Linked DNA regions of Diceros bicornis minor. The protein of the gene in region 1 interacts with the protein of each later gene in a biochemical or structural test. Links are inferred from orthologs where the notes say so. Each region holds a gene or a part of one and is shown in the gene's direction. Other genes may lie near its edges.

The links.
Region 2: of the proteins of H1-5 (region 1) and PRKCA, one has a biochemical effect on the other in vitro, tested with the Homo sapiens proteins (2 studies listed by BioGRID). The link is inferred for Diceros bicornis minor from reciprocal best matches to the Homo sapiens genes H1-5 and PRKCA.

The regions. Positions count from the first base shown.
Region 1 is NC_080753.1:39,365,888-39,371,872, forward strand, and holds H1-5 (histone H1.5), read left to right. Parts: upstream 1-4,627; 5' UTR 4,628-4,657; coding exon 4,658-5,338; 3' UTR 5,339-5,397; downstream 5,398-5,985. Other genes in the region: uncharacterized protein LOC131413346, read left to right, coding at 672-1,110, 1,331-1,333. UniProt on the Homo sapiens protein: Histone H1 protein binds to linker DNA between nucleosomes forming the macromolecular structure known as the chromatin fiber. Histones H1 are necessary for the condensation of nucleosome chains into higher-order structured fibers.
Region 2 is NC_080757.1:48,863,274-48,870,730, reverse strand, and holds the start of PRKCA (protein kinase C alpha type), read left to right. Parts: upstream 1-4,433; 5' UTR 4,434-4,696; coding exon 4,697-4,869; intron 4,870-7,457. UniProt on the Homo sapiens protein: Calcium-activated, phospholipid- and diacylglycerol (DAG)-dependent serine/threonine-protein kinase that is involved in positive and negative regulation of cell proliferation, apoptosis, differentiation, migration and adhesion, tumorigenesis, cardiac hypertrophy, angiogenesis, platelet function and inflammation, by directly phosphorylating targets such as RAF1, BCL2, CSPG4, TNNT2/CTNT, or activating signaling cascade involving MAPK1/3 (ERK1/2) and RAP1GAP.

The DNA.
Region 1 (5,985 bases):
AAAGAGCTGTAGGCATCTTTCAGTAGCACTGTATGCTAAGCAGCTGCAAGCGTCAGATTAGTTTTTTGGGAAATGTAGCATCTTGAACAGTAAGGTCCCTAAAACATTCCTAGCTGCTTTGGTAGCCGCCTCCCCCCCATCAGCATCTCCATCACCTAGTAAAATGGCAGATCATCCGGCCATTATTAAATAGGCGCTACCTGTTACAACAAAGATTGAAAGTCGGACTCATCTATTTACTGTCTACTGCATTCGCACTACAATGGCAAAGACAGTAAACTGACCTTTAAAGAGTTGGCTGACCTTTGTTTTAACGAGCTCGTTGATTCCTAAGCACGGTGAAGTTTGAGAACACTGGCATAGCCCATAGTGGCTAGAATTTCAAACCCCGCTTCAGTACTTAACATTTAACGTATTCTCGGTTCCCTTTCATGTTATTCAGTAAAGATTTTTTGCCAAGGATGCAATCATGAAGCCTTTTACTTAAAATAGTGCAAGGTACTTTCGCATTCTGAAGACAACATTTTCTTGAGAATTTTGATGCATCCTAGAGGCTTTTTAAAAAGCCAGTAAGACATTTTCTCTGTACATTATCTTAAAAACTGAAGGAGAGGCGGGAAAACACTTCCTTTCCTTAGCGAATTAAACCAAGAGCCAATTCTGAGGGCGAGGCGGGGCGGGGCAGCAGTCTGCTGTCGAATCAGAACGCGAGGGTCGTTATAAATACTGGGACGACTGCTTCTTGCTCTCATTAGTGTTAAGTAGTTGGCTCTGCTTAGCTATGGCTCGCACCAAGCAGACAGCTCGCAAGTCCACCGGCGGCAAGGCGCCCCGCAAGCAGCTGGCTACCAAGGCGGCCCGCAAGAGCGCGCCGGCCACCGGCGGCGTGAAGAAGCCCCACCGCTACCGGCCCGGCACGGTGGCGCTGCGCGAGATCCGCCGCTACCAGAAGTCCACCGAGCTGCTGATCCGCAAGCTGCCCTTCCAGCGCCTGGTGCGCGAGATCGCGCAGGACTTCAAGACCGACCTGCGCTTCCAGAGCTCGGCCGTGATGGCGCTGCAGGAGGCGTGCGAGGCCTACCTGGTGGGGCTCTTCGAGGACACCAACCTGTGCGCCATCCACGCCAAGCGCGTCACCATCATGCCCAAGGACATCCAACTCGCGCGCCGCATCCGCGGGGAAAGAGCTTAAACTTGCTAGTGTTCCACCTGACATACTCTACCCCAAAGGGAACTCTACCCCAAAAGGCTCTTTTCAGAGCCCCTCCGTTGTCACCAAAAGGGAGCTGTTCTACAGAATATATGGTAGCACTATATGAAAAGAGTGCAGAGCGTTTCGACGAAATAGTTATTGTGGGCTCAGTTGGGAGATTGGTCTACAGGCTGGAGAGGTGACTGTGTATTCTGTAAACCCAACAACTTGATTCCACGGGAACACCTTGCTTGTACTCTGCGCAGTGAGGAGCTGTTTCTGGATAGGCATTCTTAAAATGATACAAGCATTTCAGAAACACCCTTGGCTACATGTAGTAACCGAAGCAAGACTGGCTTATGCCTTAGAAAAGTTTAGTTCAAATTACTGTGGATAGTTGTGCAAATGGCAAATACAGCTTAATTTTGCCAAGGATTCCTGGGATGACCTAAGAAATATGCCTCTTAATTTGCTTTCCTGTGACACGAAGGAATAGAACAAGTATCGTCATGAGTGTTTAGAAACTTGCTAGCTTTTCTGTTGCTCTTTTGTAATGTTTAACAAAGGCATATGTTAGGGGCTTTGCATGTATGTGATTATGTGTGGAAAACAGTGGGCCCACAAAGGCCTGGACACTTTGACTTGCAGGCTGTCATCTGTAAAATGAGCTCCCAATAGCTGTAAAAATCTAAAAAAAAATTTGCTCAAGTATTTTCAAAATCTGCCTGTCAGTCTATAAATTGGATGTTCATGTTTTGTTTTGTTTTTCCAAATAGAGAATCAGACTGGAAATTAAAGGTGAGATGTCATTTTGAAGTTGTTCCTTGTTTCCAAACTTGACTCCTTATTAATGTTGTCCAATGTTTTCAGCTTTTTAAAAAGTCTCCTCATGTACGACTATCATTGCCTTATTTTTCTGTTTACGCTTTTGGGTACACATCCTAACTCCAGGAGCTAGCGGAGTTAAGTGAAGGCAATTTTTCTCCTGAGTGTTCGAAGGCAGGTCAGCCATCTGAGCCTTCCTTTCTTTCCCCTATTTTTGTATTTGCCCTTCCAGAGAGGCTTATATTTCATCACTGGCTCCTTCTAAAGCTTTTTGGAATTGATTCAGCAAAAACGGTTCTGATCCATGGAGCCAGAAGCCTCTCCCTACAGATTAATTTAGCGCTCCTTTTTTGGCTTCCTGCTAGGTGTAAGGACGATTTGATGCTGCCTCTTCCAAACTTCAAAGATTATTCTCTCTCTGCACCCCTTCCAGGATCTCCCCATCATAATGGAGATGAAGCCAAGTGGTCTAGGTTCAAACTCAGAGCTGCCAAGTACTAGCTGTATAATTTTTGGTAAATTACTCATCCTCTTTCTGGGACTCAGCTTGTCCAGCTGTATGATGTGACAAATTAAAACCTGTAGAGTATCTTAGATTAGTTCCTGGTACTTAGTAAATGCTCAATGAATATTAGCTCTTAAAGTTATCACCCTCTCCTGCTGCTTAAACATGGAAGGTTTTTTCCTCTGGATCTTCTGAAAGTTTTGTGATAAAAACAGTGGAAATGCTTGTTCAGAACATTTTCCTGTTAAAATCTTTTCTTTTAGTTCTCGATTTGCATTGTTCTGAAAGAGGCAAGCTTGTAGCAATATACCATGAACTGCGTCTATGTGGAGGAGTTCAAAACACAGCAAAAGGGCCAGAGAGTTAGTAAATAGTTTATTTAGGTTTTGCAGGAGACATATGGTCTTCATCGCATTTTTCTTTTCTAACACAATTTTAATTTTTTATTTTATTTTTTTATTTTTTCCCCCAAAGCCCCAGTAGATAGTTCTATGTCATAGTCGCACATCCTTCTAGTTGCTGTATGTGGGACGCGGCCCAGCATGGCGGCACAAGCGGTGCGTCGGTGCGCGCCCAGGATCCGAACCGGGCTGCCAGTAGCGGAGTGGGTGCGCTTAAAGGGTAAGCCACGGGGCCGGCCCCTAACACAATTTTAAAATATAAAAACCACTCTTAGCCTGAGGGCCATACAAAAACAAGTCATTGTCCAGATTTGGCCATAGTTGACTGAATTTTCAAATCCAAGAGCTCCTGGAGAGAAGATGAAGTGTGTTGGCTAACACAGTTTTTCACAGGGAAGCATTGACTGTTGACTGCATTAGAGATCATAACCATTACCTGATCTCTTACCATCCAGGCACAAAATCCTGTCCATTCTCCACCCCACCCTCAAATAAATAGCAAACCTCACTCTCCATTCCAACTCATGGTCATTGCCTGAACTCCTTTGGATGTTAATATTTTCCTGAATTCTTCAGAACCTCTATAACCTCCTGTCCCTCAATACCCAATCTACCCTTCTTATAGTCAAGTAGCCAATTATTTTTCTAAAATACACGTCTATCTTCACTTAAACACACAAAAAATACCCACATTGATGTCTTCTGGCTGCTTACAAAAGAGGGTATTCCTGAGGATGCAATTTGGTAAATGTTGATGGAGGTAAGGAGTTTGAGTGAGAGCATTGGGAAGAGCACCTCGAAAACCTGACCAAGTCCCATTCATCTAAACAGTTTGTGCTCCTGAGGGCTACTGGAAGCAGGTTTCAGAGATTTTTCTAAAGGACATTATCTGGGCTAAGCATTTTCCGTCCTTATTTTAATGGGTTCACTTAGGAATCAAAGAGAGAAAGCATCTCAATAAAAAATGTACCAAATTTAAGTTTGAATTTGAATCCAAGTCGACGGATCCTGAAGCCAAAGCAATTTCTATTCCTCTTGGAGCAAGGTGGAAGAAGTCACTCTGGCAATTGAACTTTTCCAAGCTGCAAAATACCATTCTCTAAAGGCATTGGCATGTGGAAACTCCTAGGAGGCAGAACCGGTTTTTAAAGTAAGGTCCATGTGCTTAATTTGGGGCTGTAGGCAACCAGCCACCCTACGCCTGTGTTACTTGCTACAGTTTGAAACAAAGTTTATGTCCAAACCAAGGAACCTAGTGTCTTTCCTCCTGCAAAAATCAAAGGCTGAATTTAGGAACAAATCTTTTTAAAAAACGTTAACTTGATACTTAGTAAAAATTTATTGCAACATGCAACTAAGTAGCAGGATGATTTAAGCCGGGTGGATTCATATGAAAAGCCTAAGGGATTTTTAAATATATCTTTCATCAATTGTGCGTGATTTATGAAAACACAAACAAATACGTAAACCCGAAGGCTGTTTTCCTCTCTTGGAGCATCAAAGCGTCAAATTCTGTACTATTGTTTTCAGCATTTAATCAAATTTTGGGGACTAACAAACACAATTTGAGAGTCCAACCGGGAGAGGCGGCTGCCCGAGGGAGGTGGATTGGACGCTCCACCAATCAGAGGGCAGCACCGGCTTATATAAGCCCCGGGCCCCAGCAAGACAGCATTGCAAACCTTGCTCTTTGCATTTTGAGTTTCTCTTTCTTTAGTAGGTACTTTCATCACTATGTCGGAAACCGCTCCTGCTGAGACGGCTGCCCCGGCGCCAGTGGAGAAGTCTCCTGCCAAGAAGAAGGCAACCAAGAAGTCCGGGAGCGGTGGCGCGGCTAAGCGCAAGGCTACCGGGCCCCCAGTCTCTGAGCTGATCACTAAGGCTGTGGCTGCTTCTAAAGAACGCAATGGCCTGTCTTTGGCTGCACTCAAGAAGGCGCTCGCGGCTGGTGGCTACGACGTTGAGAAGAACAACAGCCGCATCAAGTTGGGTCTCAGGAGCCTGGTGAGCAAGGGCACTCTGGTGCAGACCAAGGGTACCGGTGCTTCGGGGTCCTTTAAGCTCAACAAAAAAGCGGCTTCTGGTGAAGCTAAGCCCAAGGCTAAGAAGGCGGGGGCAGCCAAAGGCAAGAAGCCTGCAGGGGCCACTCCTAAAAAGCCCAAGAAGACTGCGGGAGCGAAGAAAGCCGTGAAGAAGACTCCCAAGAAGGCCAAGAAGCCCGCGGCCGCTGGCGTCAAAAAAGTGGCCAAGAGTCCCAAGAAGGCCAAAGCTGCCGCCAAGCCGAAGAAGGCTGCCAAGAGCCCCGCCAAGCCCAAGGCAGTGAAGCCGAAGGCGGCCAAACCCAAAGCCACCAAGCCCAAGGCAGCAAAGCCCAAAGCTGCGAAGGCGAAGAAGGCAGCTCCCAAAAAGAAGTAGGTAGTCGGCGTTTAAAAACGACAGAACCCCAAAGGCTCTTTTCAGAGCCACCCAGAGATCTCCGAAAATGGCTGTGCACTGAATAACTTACCATCATTGTTGCCTTCCCGACCAACCTCCATGAGAGCCGTGCAACAGTATATTTACTAAAGTCTTGTTTACGTTTTCAGCTTTTCTGTTTAAAACTTTAAAGCGAAACCGTCAAGTTACAGTTAATGTCATACTCAGCAAAGCTTACTAAAGCAAGGGGAGTTAAGGGCCCCTACGTGTGCCACCACCCTGTAAAAAAACTCCGGGGAATCGTATCTTGAATAGATGGCTCAGCATCGGCTTTTCGGAGCTTTTGATTCTGGTTGCTTACTTACGACAAGGAAGGGGTTAGAATTTTAAAAAGCCCGCGCACGTTCCGATTGGTCAATTCTTTTTACTCGCTCGACGGGAAGTTTAATTCCGGTTCACGCGCCACCTACATGCCAGTTAGTACACTACTTTATTTGATCGATTGGCAGTATAGGCAGCATTCACAAGCCACAGACCTAACCAGAAGAGAAGAGGAGCAAGTTCAGGATCGTACATGCGTGGTGTCATTCATTTAAGATTTTAAAAGTATATTTACATAGACTAAAGTAATATGAAGTTCACACAAA
Region 2 (7,457 bases), on another chromosome or scaffold:
AAGCAATTTAAAGGTGAGGGTGGTGGACAACATTTTAAGTTTGAAATGTGAACTCCAAGATAAGTTTTTTATCCTCCCTCCACGTGTCAGCTCTTGCTTCCCAATTCAGAGTCACTGGAGTGGAGGGAAATACATCTGTCAGTTCTGGAGGAAGAATGGGCTTAGAAGAGGAGAGCTCTCAATTCACTCTCTCCAAAACGCAGACTTGATAAAGCTGAGAAGGAACACTCTACCTTACATTTGTATGAGACTTGAGGATTTACTAAACACTCTTTTGGTGTGTGTGTGACGAAGATTAGCCCTGAGCTAACATCCATTGCCAATCCTCTTTTTGCCAAGGAAGATTGGCCCTGGGCTAACATCCATGCCCATCTGTCTCTACTCTATATGGCACAGCGCCACAGCACGGCTTGACAAGTGGTGAATCCGTCTGCACCTTGGATCCGAACTTGCCAATGCCAGGCCGCCGAAGCGGGGCGTGTGCACTTAACTGCTTCGTCACTGGGCCCGCCCCACTAAACACTCATATGTACGTCATCTGGTTAAATTCTTAAGAAGATCCTAGGGTAGTTATGCATTTCTCCATTTTTAGGTGAAGAAATAAAGACTTGGGGGAGTTAATTTATCCAAGTTACACAATTTATCCAAGTCACACAAGCCAGTTAGTGCTGGAGCTAGTACTTAAACCCAGGTCTTCTGAGTCCTATATCTGGTTGGTACCATGCCTATCATAGAAAAACTGGAAGAAAGTGGAGATAAAATACTTTATGGAGGAAGCTAAAATCCTGGACACCAAGAAGGTTCCTTGGGCAGTCCACTCAGGATTTCATCTCCCAGTTGTGGACTGGGGCTAAGAAGGAGGTGAGGGTCAATGATTTAAAACAGACTTTTCAAACATTTTACATTCAAAGTGTACGGTTTGTACTCCATGCAACAACAAAATTCTGGCAATACAACCTTTTGTGTTAAAATAATAAATATCTCCTTTTTGATTAAAGAAAAACATCAAAAAATATGGCTTCTACTGCCCTTTCAAAATGTGAGTCCTAGGTCAAAGGCTTCTCTTCCTGTACAAAAAAGCATCTATCCACAACCCAGAGATAGTCACTTAAATGAACATTTTGCTGTACATACCTTTATATACGTGTGTGTACATGCACAAGCATATTTATATTTATGTATATGTGAGTGTACATAAGTGTACAGACATTAAAAAATGGAATCTTATTTTGAATACTGTTTTACATCCTGCTTCTTTCACTTACTAGCAAAGTATGGCCTTCTTTTAATACAAAATATCCAATTAGAGATCTGTGGTGTTCTGCTTTGAGGCCTTTCAAAAGTTACTTTTACCTTTAAACTAGGAACAAAGTTTTCAAATGTACAAAAGGGTAGACACAGTGAAAGGTAAGTCTTCCCCCACTCCCCTGCACAACCATTCCTGGCAGCCTTGCTGTTAACCTCTGACTGGGGATTCTGACTCATCCACTCTTATGAAACATCATCCTACATCTCCTGCCCAGCTAGACCTTGTCTCTACCCATTTCTTGAGACCTGCCATTCACCCTGACTCTAAACACTGCCTAATTAATTATGCATTGCACTAGTTGTCTTAGCTCTCCTAAGCCTTGAATTCATCGCATAGAGCAAAACGTGAGCCTTTAAATCATCTTGGTTACTATAAATCTCAGAATCAAGCTTTTTCTACACTTGAAAGCAATTCCTATTGCTCAACAGGAAAATGGCCTGGTCCTTTTGAAAACAGACCAGTTATCTGCAGAGAGCAACAAGTTGTAAGTAGCATCGTAAAGACTATTGGTTTTAAGTAAACCACTCGGGTTCAGAAGCATCAGTTTAAACATTTTATTTTTTTATTGTGAGGAAGATCGGCCCTGAGCTAACATCCATGCTAATCATCCTCTTTTTGCTGAGGAAGACCGGCTCTGAGCTAACATCTATTGCCAATCCTCCTCCGTTTTTTCTCCCCAAAGCCCCAGTAGATAGTCGTATGTCATAGTTGCACATCCTTCTTGTTGCTGTATGTGGGATGCGGCCTCAGCATGGCCAGAGAAGCGGTGCGTCGGTGCGCGCCCGGGATCCGAACCCAGGCCGCCGGTAGCAGAGCGTGTGCACTTAACTGCTAAGCCACGGGGCCGGCCCCAGAAGCATCAGTTTAATGGCCTGACTTTGAGCCCAGCCTCCAGCCTCCGGGTCCTCCTGGTCTAGGCAACACCTCTCCCAAGAGTCTCAAGCTTACTTCTCAAAGGCAGGGGTCACAGAGGGGGGTTCTCACAAGGTCTCTGTTCAGTCTACCATTCCCTGTTTTTTTCCTGCACCTTCCCCATGAAACAGCAGACTCTAAAATAATTACTAATACTCTGACTGACTGACCACGCCCTCCCTAGGGGTTCTCCTTTCTGTAATCCCCTCCATTTTAGTGCTACCATGAGGACTTCTCAGGTGGGCAGCAGGGGTTAACTGCAGCCCACATTCCCATCAGTCCTTGCTATAGGCAATGTTACACTGCATGATAATTCCTTGCCCCAGGCGCATCCCCACCCCCGCCCCCATAATTGAGCTAAGCTGTAGGCAATGGAGCACTCAAGCTCAGCCCAGCTATCAGTCAACAAACTTCCAGTTAGTTCTCTCCATACCCACAAGTAATAACAGTAATAACTGAGGCAAGAAAGCACAGCCACACCCTGCAAGAAAAATATTGTCTCCATTTGGTCTACTCACCGATGAGATCAGTCACTCTACTCTGTACATAGAAGATGGGCAGGCTGCTGCCAAGGTCCACTTGGTTCTTAGCTCATCTTCCCTATGACTTTGCTCATGGATTCCACTACCAGCAACCCAACCTCCAACTCTCCCATATATTTCTTCCATCATTACATCAAAGCTTCAGGGAAATAGAAAGAAGCTTGTCTTCCTAAAATGCGTGAGGACCACTGTCTTCAAGATGGCTGTGAGGAAAGAACTGTGTTTCATTCTTTTTTGCCTCCTTGGACTGGAGGGGGTTGCCACGAATGGCAAAATTTCTGACCAGGTAGAATATCAAGCAGGTTCTCTTTAAGCACCAACTACACTGGTTCAAGAGATTGTAAATGGGCTGGCACAGTGCATGCTCCACTAATGGCCAGTCAATAGCTTACACCTATTAAAACATAAAAGACATTCCTATTATCAAGCATTCAATTAGGCATCTTAAAAAATGGTAGCCCTACTTGGTCTATGTGATATGCTCTAAGTGGTATCTACCTTAGAAAAGTTTTCTATTTTTTGTAACTTCTTGAAGGATTAAACATATTCTCTTTCTTGATGTCTTTAGTTCATGAAGTTGTTTTGTGAACTTAGTGAATCTGACAATGAAATAAAACAATAATGAAATACTGGGAGATAGCTGTTTCCCTTATGCATTTCAGCATTCTAGAGGCAGAACTAATAAATATTCAGCAAATGATTAGTTGGTATATCCCACGTGCATCCTTTACATATCCATGCCAGCTACCCTTTCACAAACAGTTTTACTTGGTAATTTACAAATGAACTGGCTGCACTTTGCACCTGCCAGTACTGCAGTAATTAGCTTAGGACGCAAAATGATTTCTAAATTGAGCTTCTGGACTTGTAAAAATCAAGAAAGCCTGATAATCAACGTTGTAACTGTGGTAGCCAACGAGTAATGGGATAAATAACTAGGACAAGTCCTTTAACCACCCTACGTCCAAATTAGATGTCCATACAAGACGCAGGTGAAATATAGGCCAACAATTAGAGGCAGGTGAAAGGGTCAGTGTTCAATGATTTAAAATCGTTCCCTTTCTCCCGCCATATGGAAAGAGCGTGAAGGTCTAGGGGTTGTGCATTTTAGGGCGCACACAATTGGAGTGACATTTTAGCCAGGTGAAACCTCAAGTTGATACAGGCTGATAAAACTTGGACATCGTGTTCTGGAGGATTGGGAAGGGGGAGAAGGGAGAGTGAGCGTCCGAGCGGGTCGGACCGAGCGGCGTGGGCTGCGTCGTACCCCGTCCTGGGACTCGGGGCTCCCCTCGGCCACGCAGACCTCCGACCCCGGAGACGAGCAAAGAGGAGCGAGAAGGATGATCTGGAGAGAGCGAGCGGGAGTGGGAGGAGAAGACGAGAGAGGAGCGGAAGAAGAGGAGGAGGAGAGAAGGGAAGAAAAGAGAAAGGCGGTGGAGGAGAACGGGCCCGCCCCTCCCGGCGCCCTCCTCCGCTCCCAAATTCCGGCGGGCCCTCCCCCAGCCGCCGCCGCCGCCGCCGCCGCCTCCGCTCTCCCGGCTGCTCCGAAAACGCGGAGGCGCCGACTCCTCCGGCGCCCGCGGCCGCCCCGCGCGCGCCCCCGTGGGCGCGCGGCCACCTCGCCCGCGCGGCGCTCACTCTCGGGGCATGCGCGGTGGGCGGCGCCGCTCCGGCCGCCTCTGCCGCCGAGAGTAGGAAGCGCGAGCGCCGGGCGCCGGGCTGTCAGTGAGCGTGGGGCCAGCGAGCGAGCGAGCGAGCGAGCGAGCGGCTCCGGCTCCCGCTCCGGCCCGGCTCTCCCCGCCTCCTCCGCCGCGCCTCCTCGCAGCGCCCCCGGCCCGCGTCCCCGCCGCCCCTCCCCCGCTCGCCCCCGCCCACCCGGCCCTCCCCGGCTGCTGCTCCCCGGCGGAGGCAAGAGGTGGTTGGGGGGACCATGGCTGACGTTTTCCCGGCCAACGACTCCACGGCGTCTCAGGACGTGGCCAACCGCTTCGCCCGCAAAGGGGCGCTGAGACAGAAGAACGTGCACGAAGTGAAGGACCACAAATTCATCGCCCGCTTCTTCAAGCAGCCCACCTTCTGCAGCCACTGCACCGACTTCATCTGGTAGGTGCGCGCGGGGCGCGGCAGGGCGCACGGACGGCATCCCGGACCCCTCTGGCGGTGCCAGGGGCTGGGGACCAGTTCCTCCCTAGGCCGGGGTCCTTTCGCCCTGGGGACCCTGGCGCGGGCCCCCCAGTCCAGGCGCGTCCACCCCAGGGCTGACTCACTCGGGGAACTTGGAGAGACGGCGGGAGTCCGAACTCTCGCCCGGAATGACACGCGCGCGCCCGGCCGCCCCGGCCACTCTCACACGGGCAGGACTCCCGGGAAAGTCGCCGCCGGGTCACACACCCCCTGCCGCAGGAGGGAGGCTGGCCCCGCGCGGACTGACGTTAACCCCCTCCACGGGTCTAGTGCCCCCGACCTCCCCAGGCGCGCCTGCTCTCCCGTACAGATAGTGGAGCAGCCCCTTGCCCGGGTGTGAGCGAAGGGGAAAGCAACAAGGAGAATTCAGAGGGCAGAGTTTCCGGAGAAACGCGCCCGGGAGGAGCCGGGGGAGCCCCGGCGACTGCGCTGCGCGGTCCAAGTTGGCGAGCCAGGCTGGGCTCATTCGGGGGGTGTGTGTTTTGTGTTTCCCCTGTAGCTTTGGGTCTCTGCCTACTGTAGCTTGTATCTACTGGGCACGGAGAGACTTCGACTTTCCTGGGTGAGCTCAGAGATCGGAGAGGCAACAAACTGTTGAAAGCTTGCAGTGGGGGAGGGGGAACTAGAACGGAGCAGGCAAATGGCAGAAGGGCAGAGGGAGTCATTTAAAATAGACCCTGTCAACACGAGATTAGACCTGTAACCCTGTTGATGAGGACAGAGGCCTTATTTAAGAAAAATACTGTAAGGGCTAAAGGTGTCAGATTCAGGTAATTTATAGTGAACCCAGGTGTTCTTAACTTGGGGGGGTTGGGGAGGAATTGATAAAAGGATGGGCTTCAGGGGTCTCTGAACCCTGTAAATCTAGGTGAAATTGTGTTCATATGTGTGTGTGTGTGTGTGTTTTTTTTCCTGGTGAGAGAATGATTGCTTTTATTAACTGATTCCTAAAAGGTCGGTGACCCCCCTCCCTCCCCAAAAAAATAGTTTAGAAAGCTGGAACTAAGGGAATTCCAGTTGTTCCAGTCTGAGGAGCAGGGGTTTTGTTTTAGGTTGCCACACACCCTGCCTCTTCCACCTCTTGTAGATGTAGGAAGCTCCCCCAAGTCAGGGCTGTGGCTAGGGTTCCTTAACTCCCACCTTTCCTAGGCTGGGGGACTGTACTAGGGTGATAGTGCCATAGAGTTCACCCTGCCACCAGCTGGCTGTGTGGCACATGTGTCTTGTTGGGACCCTAGGGAAAACGTATGGATGGATGGCTGAATCCATCACACCTGGGGAAAAGCATCTCCAAGGGCAAATCCCACAAATGTGCTAATAAAGTACTGAATTTTTCCTTTATGGATGGCTCTGTTTGAATCCATTACACCTGGGGAAAATCATCTCTAAGGGAGAGTCCCACAAATTTGCTAATATGGTGCTTAGTTTTTCCTTGATGGATGGCTCTGTTTGACTCCACACCTGGGGAAAAAACATCTCGAAGGGAGAGTCCCACAGACATGGTGCTAATAAAGGTGCTTAATTTTTTCTTTCCTTTTAGAAATCTCAAAAGTACACTTTTATGAAAAGCACTGCCACCTCGGTGAATGATTTCCACTGTGTAGTCAGTGTATGAAGCAATTGTGCTCGAAGGACTAGGTAACGGTAGATAAGGCTATTTAAAATGAGTTCCTGGAGCATCAGGGCAAAGAAGATACTGCATTTAGTTAAGGGGAGGCCGTCAGCCTCCTCTGTCAACTGTGAAATTCCATTAAAAGGGAACAGGACTGCTGATTACCTTTGCAGGAAGTAGGTAAGCTAGAAAACGGACTTGCAGCATACATACCCAGCCTAGCTAATGTCTTTCCACTATCAATTGCCCTGAAGGATTAGGCCCTGGTGACCTGTGGCACATCAGGTCACCAGGTGTAATGTGAAGTGGAAAATAAAGGACTCCCTGTCGTCTTCCTCCCTGCGTGATCCCTGCAACATTTTTTCAGTTAACTGTAAAGCAACCACTTGAAGTTGCAGGAAAATATTCCCCAAGATGTCTAACATCGGTTTTAATTTTTCAGCTTTCTTTCGTTATTGTTTCTCTGGGTCCTTGACCTACAAGTTTTATTTAAATATTAAAGCACTGATATTTTAAAACTAAATGTTTGGGTTTGAGTATGTGTTTTGGGGGATGATTAAGTTAATTATGAAGATACGTGAAGTGCTTTGTAAATCTAAAATGCTATGTAAAGCAAGAGATTATGACAACCTGAGAAAATTTTAATGCAGTTTATCTTGGTTGGAACGGTGTTTGTGGTTTAATGCCCATGTCAGCGTTTTCTGCTTAGAGAGTAAATTCTTTAATTTACAATAACAAAATAGCCTCTATAATGTGCTTTGAATGCTCTTGGTTCTCAGTAAAAATGAGATCATGATCTCAAATGCAAACAATAGGAATGATACTTTGTAAAACCTGGCTCCTTTAAGCCAAAATTTAATGTTAAGAGTGGTACCATTTGGCAATTTCTAGACAA